Linked DNA regions of Bombyx mori. The protein of the gene in region 1 purifies or fractionates together with the protein of each later gene. This does not show direct contact. Links are inferred from orthologs where the notes say so. Each region holds a gene or a part of one and is shown in the gene's direction. Other genes may lie near its edges.

What was found.
Region 2: the proteins of U3 small nucleolar ribonucleoprotein protein MPP10 (region 1) and U3 small nucleolar ribonucleoprotein protein IMP3 purify together in Homo sapiens (affinity purification with mass spectrometry; 4 studies listed by BioGRID and IntAct, with this or other methods). This does not show direct contact. The link is inferred for Bombyx mori from reciprocal best matches to the Homo sapiens genes MPHOSPH10 and IMP3.

What each region holds. Positions count from the first base shown.
Region 1 is NC_085133.1:369,423-373,446, reverse strand, and holds U3 small nucleolar ribonucleoprotein protein MPP10, read left to right. Parts: upstream 1-1,589; 5' UTR 1,590-1,752; coding exon 1,753-3,471; 3' UTR 3,472-3,490; downstream 3,491-4,024. UniProt on the Homo sapiens protein: Component of the 60-80S U3 small nucleolar ribonucleoprotein (U3 snoRNP). Required for the early cleavages during pre-18S ribosomal RNA processing. Part of the small subunit (SSU) processome, first precursor of the small eukaryotic ribosomal subunit.
Region 2 is NC_085121.1:982,512-986,064, reverse strand, and holds U3 small nucleolar ribonucleoprotein protein IMP3, read left to right. Parts: upstream 1-1,587; coding exon 1,588-1,724; intron 1,725-2,026; coding exon 2,027-2,238; intron 2,239-2,277; exon of another isoform or gene 2,278-2,343; coding exon 2,344-2,519; intron 2,520-2,585; exon of another isoform or gene 2,586-2,715; intron 2,716-2,862; coding exon 2,863-2,886; 3' UTR 2,887-2,985; downstream 2,986-3,553. UniProt on the Homo sapiens protein: Component of the 60-80S U3 small nucleolar ribonucleoprotein (U3 snoRNP). Required for the early cleavages during pre-18S ribosomal RNA processing. Part of the small subunit (SSU) processome, first precursor of the small eukaryotic ribosomal subunit.

The sequences.
Region 1 (4,024 bases):
TGCACTTTTACAGATATTAAACAGTTAAAAAACCACCGTTATTACACATTTAAACCTGAAGAAACACCAAACAGACAAAATAAAACAATTCACACAACTTCACTCCTCGCGTTCCCGTCAAAAAGTCCATGTCAAAACTTAAAGCAACGTCGCCATAGAATAAACAAAACACCTCACAATTAGGGGTGAGGCGTATTTATCGGAACAGTCAAACGGAACAGGTTTTCTTTTCATAGGTTCGTCTATGAAAAGACTTGGAACTGTTGTCTATAGACCGAAACAACTGATCCAACTGTTCAAACTGTTCCAGCTGTTCCACAATATTCCATATGTTGCGTTGTTCCGTTCCACAGCAAACAGCCAGAAACGAAACTGTTTGGAACAAGCTCTTTTTTCTTTTCCCGTATAGAAATAGAAAAAGATGGCATATACATCATGTTCCCAAACTGTTTGTATCATGCTCTTTTCTCCTTTCACTTATTGTAATAGAAAAAAAAATAGCAATAACATTAACATGCATGCATATTCCCCTTTGGTATTAGTAAATACATTCGGATACACGCATAAATTATTATATACAATAATAAATGTACTCTGTTATATTATATATCATTTAAAATATGGTATTATTTGTAATGTCTTGCTTAAAATTTGAAGATAATATACTTTTAAAATGATTAATAGACAGTTGTTATTATGGTGGTAAAAATATTTAATTGAGTTAAAAGGCCTAGCATGTATCCGAACGCTTACTAAGTCCAAACTTCTGAACTTGTCTATTCTGTTTTAGGTCTGGCATGCTTATATGGGCTATATGTTTTAATTTAAATACATTTTGGCAAAACTAGTTTCACATATTATTAATATTAATAAACCAAGTTGTCAGTCCTAAGCCTGAGAAAGCATGAAGGATTATTTACATTTAAAAAAATGTATTGAAACCATTCCATATGTGTGACTGTTCCTTTATGTGGAATATATTCTACTTTATTTATATATTTAGTGTTTAGATGGGTGGATGGGCTCACAGCCCACCTGGTGTTAAATGGTTACTGGAGCCCATAGACATCTTGATATAAAGGTTCTAAGGTCTCAGGTACAACGGCTGCTCCACCCTTCAAACATTATTAAGCCTGTTGTAACACAACAAGCTGTTATATTGGAACAGGCTACTGGAACTGTTCTTTCAATGGAACAGGAACAGGTGGAACAGGTCTCTGATTTCATCTGTTACAGACCATCCCTACTTACATTACCATAAACTTTATTTTTTGTTGGTTGTATTGGTCCCATGGATACCAAGAGGTATAAAATATACATTGGCCCTTTTAAAACTATAGATGTGCACCATTTACTATGAACAGAACATTCTGATTTGTAATAACATTTTAGATCAAATTATTTTTTGGCGAGCATGCGAGCAATGAATTAATTATTGTAAGGTCATCACCCTCTTTACATTTTTAATGCCATATTTGATTCCAAGATTATATTTTTGCCGTGACAGATTTCTTTTAAATAGCCTATGTTTTCTTGGCCTTTCAATGGACGAATGAAAAAATACAAAAATGTCAAATAGACCAATGTGTCATTTAGTTGCCAATGCTACCATTAGATCAAACGTCAAAATAATGCACCGCGTGTGTTTTTTGGTTTTGCAGCGATTTGTTTTCTTTGGTAGTTTCAGTAATTCCGTATCTTAAATTTTACATGACACATTAAAGATAAAATTATCATATTTATTACAGTAAAATGGCTTGCATAGATTTGGAAGGTATACTTAATAAATTCAACAGTTACACTGATAAACCAGTAAAATTTTTGTCTGTGCAAAAAGAGTTGAAAGAGGACCTAAAAAGGTTTGTAAAATCGGTATACGATTACACGAAATCTCAGGAGAAGAGCGATAAGAAGAAGAAGAGTGGGGCCTTAAAGGAATTAATTGTGGAAGATTTTGATGAGGAGCAGATATGGCAACAGATAGAGCTGCAGAACTCCCAACGCTGGGACCAGATAGTGTGGGAGGTGGCCAACTCTATGAGCGCAAATAACGAATTAGTATTTCCCATAAAAGTTGCTAAAGAAAAACCCAAGGAGATCTTACCTCATGGTGTTGAACCTATGGTAGAAGATGATGGAGAAAAAGTATCTGAGAATATTGAACTTGAGCATGGCAGATCTCAACGAGTTCAAAGTGATGTACCAAAAAAGAAAACCAGGCCTTCGCAGGTGGATGACAAGTTTTTCAAACTTTCCGAAATGGAAGAGTTTTTATTGAAAGAAGAAAAAAAACAAACAAATAGAACCAAAGGTGATCGTGACAGTGATGAGGAGTCTATAGATTTCTTCGAAGATGACAATGAGGAGGAGGAAGATGAAAATGTCATGTATAATGACTTTTTTGATCAAGATGGTGCTGAAGATGGGGACTATGATATGGACCAGGAAATAGATGATTCAGTTGAAGATGAAGAAGAGGAGGTTACAGAGCAGTCAAATAAAAAAAAGCAAGTCCGATTCTCACAACCATCTATTGATGATTCAGATGACAATTCAGTTGATAGTAACAAAAATAATAAAGTAAATAGTAAAACAATTGAAGAAAAACAGTCTGAGTTTGAGCAACGCCAGCAAAGACTAAAACAACACATTCAACGACTAGAGGAAAAGACTTTGAAAGAAGCCTCTTGGCAACTCAAAGGTGAAGTGGATGCATCGAAACGTCCTCAAAACTCACTTCTTCAAGAAGTTGTGGATTTTGATTTAACAACACGTCCAGCTCCAATTATAACTGAACAGACCACAGTTTCTTTAGAAGACATAATTAAACGTAGAATCAAAGATAAAGCTTGGGATGATGTTGTTAAAAAAGAAAAGCCAGTTGATGACCAACTGGCATTCCGAAAGAAGGAAATTCTAGATCATTCAAAGAGCAAGCTAAGCTTAGCTCAAGTCTATGAGGCGGAGTACTTAAAACAGAAACAGGCAGCATCAGGAGAGATTGTAGAAGAAAAAGAACCAGAAGCACATAAAGAAATTCGAGAAGCCATGTCACAGTTATTCTCAAAATTAGATGCACTGAGTCATTATCACTACACACCGAAAGCTGTACAGCCTGAAGTGACAATTGTATCAAATACTCCAGCAATATCGATGGAGGAGGTGGCTCCAGTAGCTACCAGTGATGCAGCGCTATTGGCTCCCGAAGAAATTAAGAGAAAACAGAAAGGAGATCTTATTAGCAAAGAAGAGAGAACAAAGACAGACAAAAATAGAGAAAGAAGGAAAAAGAAGAAATTGCAGAAGAAAAAAGGACAGGTTACAAAAGTAACAGACAGCAGGAATACTACAAAGAGTGTAGAAGTCAGTGACAAATCAGTGAAGACTTCAAAAGCATTCTTTGAGCAGTTAAATGATAACACCAAGAGCTTGATTAAGAAAAATAAATTAATTAAGAATAAGGGACAATAAAATATTTTTGGCTTGTCAATTTTTTGTATTTGTTGGAACATACCATGGGTATTTATGAGGAATTAGAGCTACTATGTTTTATTCATTGCCATTGCAGGCAGGCAGTGGTAAAATATCACTTTAATCATGGATATCAGCAACAGCCTGCAGTCTACTTTTTTTATGTAACAGGAATACAGGAATACAATACAGGTTGCAGAGAAATAATGAAAGGGTCTGATATATATATATAATGCTGCTAATGATAGTGATTATTAACTTTACCATGATTAGTGGTGCTAGGGAAAATTAAGAACCCTGGGTGTTGATAGGTTTGAGGCATTAGGTACTATCATCTTGTCTATTTCTGCTGATAAAATATATTTTATGCTGTCATTTTTAGGGCTCATCCTGTTTTATATCTTATATATCATTGTAATGAAATACGTACTCAACAAATGTTCATGATTGACTTCCACGCTGAAGGAATAACATTGTGTAATAAAAATGAAACCCGCAAAATTATAATTTGCGTAATTACGGGTGGTAGGACTTCTTGTGAGTCCGCGCGAGT
Region 2 (3,553 bases), on another chromosome or scaffold:
AATAAATAAACTCGCTTCATTTCATACATAATAATATAATTCTCCACTCTTGTATATTTTATTTAACAAAAAATTTAAAAGATGGCGAGTATGGTCTGATACCTTCGCCTTTCCAGCGCGTAGAACCACTCAGTTTTGACCATAGACCTATATAGTAGGGACACGACATATTGTTCTATACGTACAATTGCTTATATAAATAGCACCCATTTTGAAGGCACATACATAAACATATATCTATCTCGTTCTTACTCAGCACTTTAACTCGCAGGAAAACAATATAACAGTATTTCAGTGCGTACATAAAATGAAACATGAATATACGTAAATATCTCCGTCTCCGTCTAATGAGGCCGAAAATCCGCCATGTTTAGCGCGCCAAATGTCATTGTCACGTCAGTTCGGCCGTCTGTTTTGGGTTGTACATTATTTATTGACTTTGATATCGATTTAATATGATTGATTATATAAAATTTCATAATTTATCATGCTTAAAACATACAAAAATAATAATTAAAACGTATTTTATAGGATCTCAAGAAAGTCGATGCCCTAAAACTATTATCTATATGTATTTAAATTCATTATGGAGCCCTCATCCGAAAAATCCATTTTTCGGTCGGAATCTATTGATCATGACACTAATCATAAATACCACTTTAAAATATGTCATCAAAACATATTTAGACATTCTGTTTAGATATTTCGGGAAAAAGGCTACCGACAAAATCTCTTCGGAACTATTTAAATAAAATAGTTTTATTCCGCAGTGAGGAAAACACTATTGTAAATTTGTTAAATATTTCATAATTAAGTGATTCTAGAGAGGAAGTCACAAGGAATGACGTTTGTAATTAATGAATAAATGTTCTGTAGGTGTTTTTTTTTTCACGCGGTCCCTTGATAAGTTTAAAATTTGAATCACTCTCAAGCGAAAGTGATTCAAATGGTGCGGCGCACCTTCCTTGGGGTGCGCTGCGGTAGTATGTTACGGACTTTAGAGTCAGCAAAACAATTAAAATAGATTGTTATAGCCTAAGAAAAACACAACTCAAAATACGATAACATTTAGCATGCTAGAAATGGGCTGATGGCTTTGAACTACGCCATATCTTTATGTTTTGCGACAAACGACAACTTTATAAAATCAATGTAGCAACTTTTAAAAATCATCATATCGTTTACTTGGCAAATTCGAAGGACGAACTTGTCTTAGATTTCACCCATCTAAATCATATCATATTTGCACATAACAATATACCTACTTACTTCCCATTAAAGTATAAATTCTACAAATAAATAATACTCAACAATATTTAAAATAAAATGAGCCAAGAACGTTTATCGATAAAACCTGATAACATTGAAATCTTTTGTACAGCACTAAAGCCGCCATGTTTTGTGGCCAGATGACGTCACAGGGGCACGAAATTTTGGTTGACGTTTCATTTCCATAGGTTTCCTACTTCATTGGTTTTGACAAACGACTTTATAATCAATGTTCTGTTACATTTTTTATTTTATTATTATTTTTTATATAAGCAGAAACACTACATAACCTATATCCTTGTGCTCGGTGTTCCCAAAATGGTCAGAAAACTTAAATTTCATGAAGGGAAACTGCTAAAGAAAGTAGACTTTATATCATGGAAGTTGGATAACAATATTAGTGAAGTGAAGGTTATGAAAAAGTTTTGTATACAAAAGCGTGAGGATTACACAAAGTAAGGCAATTTTGCAATTATGAGCTATGTATTATATTATGAGACAGCCAGTTTTATTTAAATGAAATGTCTGAGACTTTGTTAATAGGGAATATCGGTCGTTATGCCTAAATTCTAAATTCAGCACACTGAAGTCGTATTTGAGTCAAATATTTTACTTTAGTATCCTAAATTTACAACTGGTTCTACAGGAGGGTTCCACAGAAAGCGGGAATTTGGCCGCTTTAGATATAAACTGTCCATTAATTGATGTAAAATACAATTAATAATAAATCTAAAACTATTATTGTGTGAATTGTTAGGTATAACAAATTGTCTCGTGATATCAGAGAGCTCGCAAACAAGATAAAAGACCTCGATCCAAATAATGAATTCAGGACAGAGTCAAGTGCTCAACTTTTGGAAAAACTTTACCAAATTGGATTGATACCGACAAGATGGGATCTTGCCTTGGCCACTAATGTCTCTGCCAGTTCTTTCTGTAGGCGAAGGCTGCCTGTGTTGATGGTTCGAAGTGAGTATCACTTGTTTCAATAAACATTACAATAACATATTTCTTGGAATTTGCATTTTTATTAATAAATGTCATTTATAATTATTGATGTTTATAAATGCACAGATAAAATGTCAGAAACTATTAAAGAAGCCACAAAGTTTATTGAACAAGGACATGTAAGAGTGGGACCTGAAGTAGTGAAGGATCCTGCATTCCTTGTCAACAGATCACTGGAGGACTTTGTTACATGGGTTGATGGTTCAGCAATAAGAAAACATGTTCTGGAATATAATGAAATGGTTAGTATACACAATACACATTCATTAAACTTTTTAATGTTTATTCATATTTCTAAGTTTACTTACATATTGATAATATAATTGTGAAAAAGCTCTGCGTAGAGGTTTAGAATAGTTGTGAAAAACAACTTTTGTTAAATGGAAAGCAGTAATGCATTAAATAAATTTTAGAACTTGTCCACAGCATAATGTCACACTGGTTTTGATATGAAATTAAAAAAAAATGAAAACATTATATAGGGATCAATTATTTATAACATTGTCATTAACAAAGACATGGATGTGTTTGCATAGATAAAACGGAAGAAACTTAAACTAATATTTCTTTTTTTTTCTTTTACAGAGAGATGACTTCGATATGTTATAATTTTATATAAGGCTTTAGTTATATAAGAATACTTATTTTAAGATTCTGTACTGTTACCACAACAACAAGTGAAAGTACCAATACACTTTTTAATGCACACTATTTTAGTTTAAATTTTTATTTCGCCTTGAAGTCATTTTTATTTAAAATATAGATAAATGATTCTTTCCTTTCAAAGAATCATAAAATACATACATTCCTTTGTGCTCTATGTATAGTATTCCACCAATATAACTTGTTTAAAGTGTAACTTCAATGATCTTAAGGTAAACTTCATTTAATACAGGATCTACCAGTGTTGATGGTTTACTTTAAATATGATCTGTATTGTAACCATTTTGATCATAAGCTATAAAAATTTACAATATTTGTTGAAATACAACAAAATCTAAGACATCCTACCTACCACCAGTAATTATGCAAATTATAATTTTCTGGGTTTGATTTATAATGATCTGCTTTGAGTTTCATTATTTGCAATCTCAGAACCATAAAATGTTTGCAGCAAATCTCAATTAGATAATCTATGACCCCACTAGATACTCTAACTTCCAAGCTGTCACAAAAGTTGCTAACTTTATTTCCGCAGTTCCGAAGTTTGACTTTTAAAAATACGTTTGTGTTGTTTTCCTGCCTATGCTTGAGGGGTTATGCCAGTTCAACACCG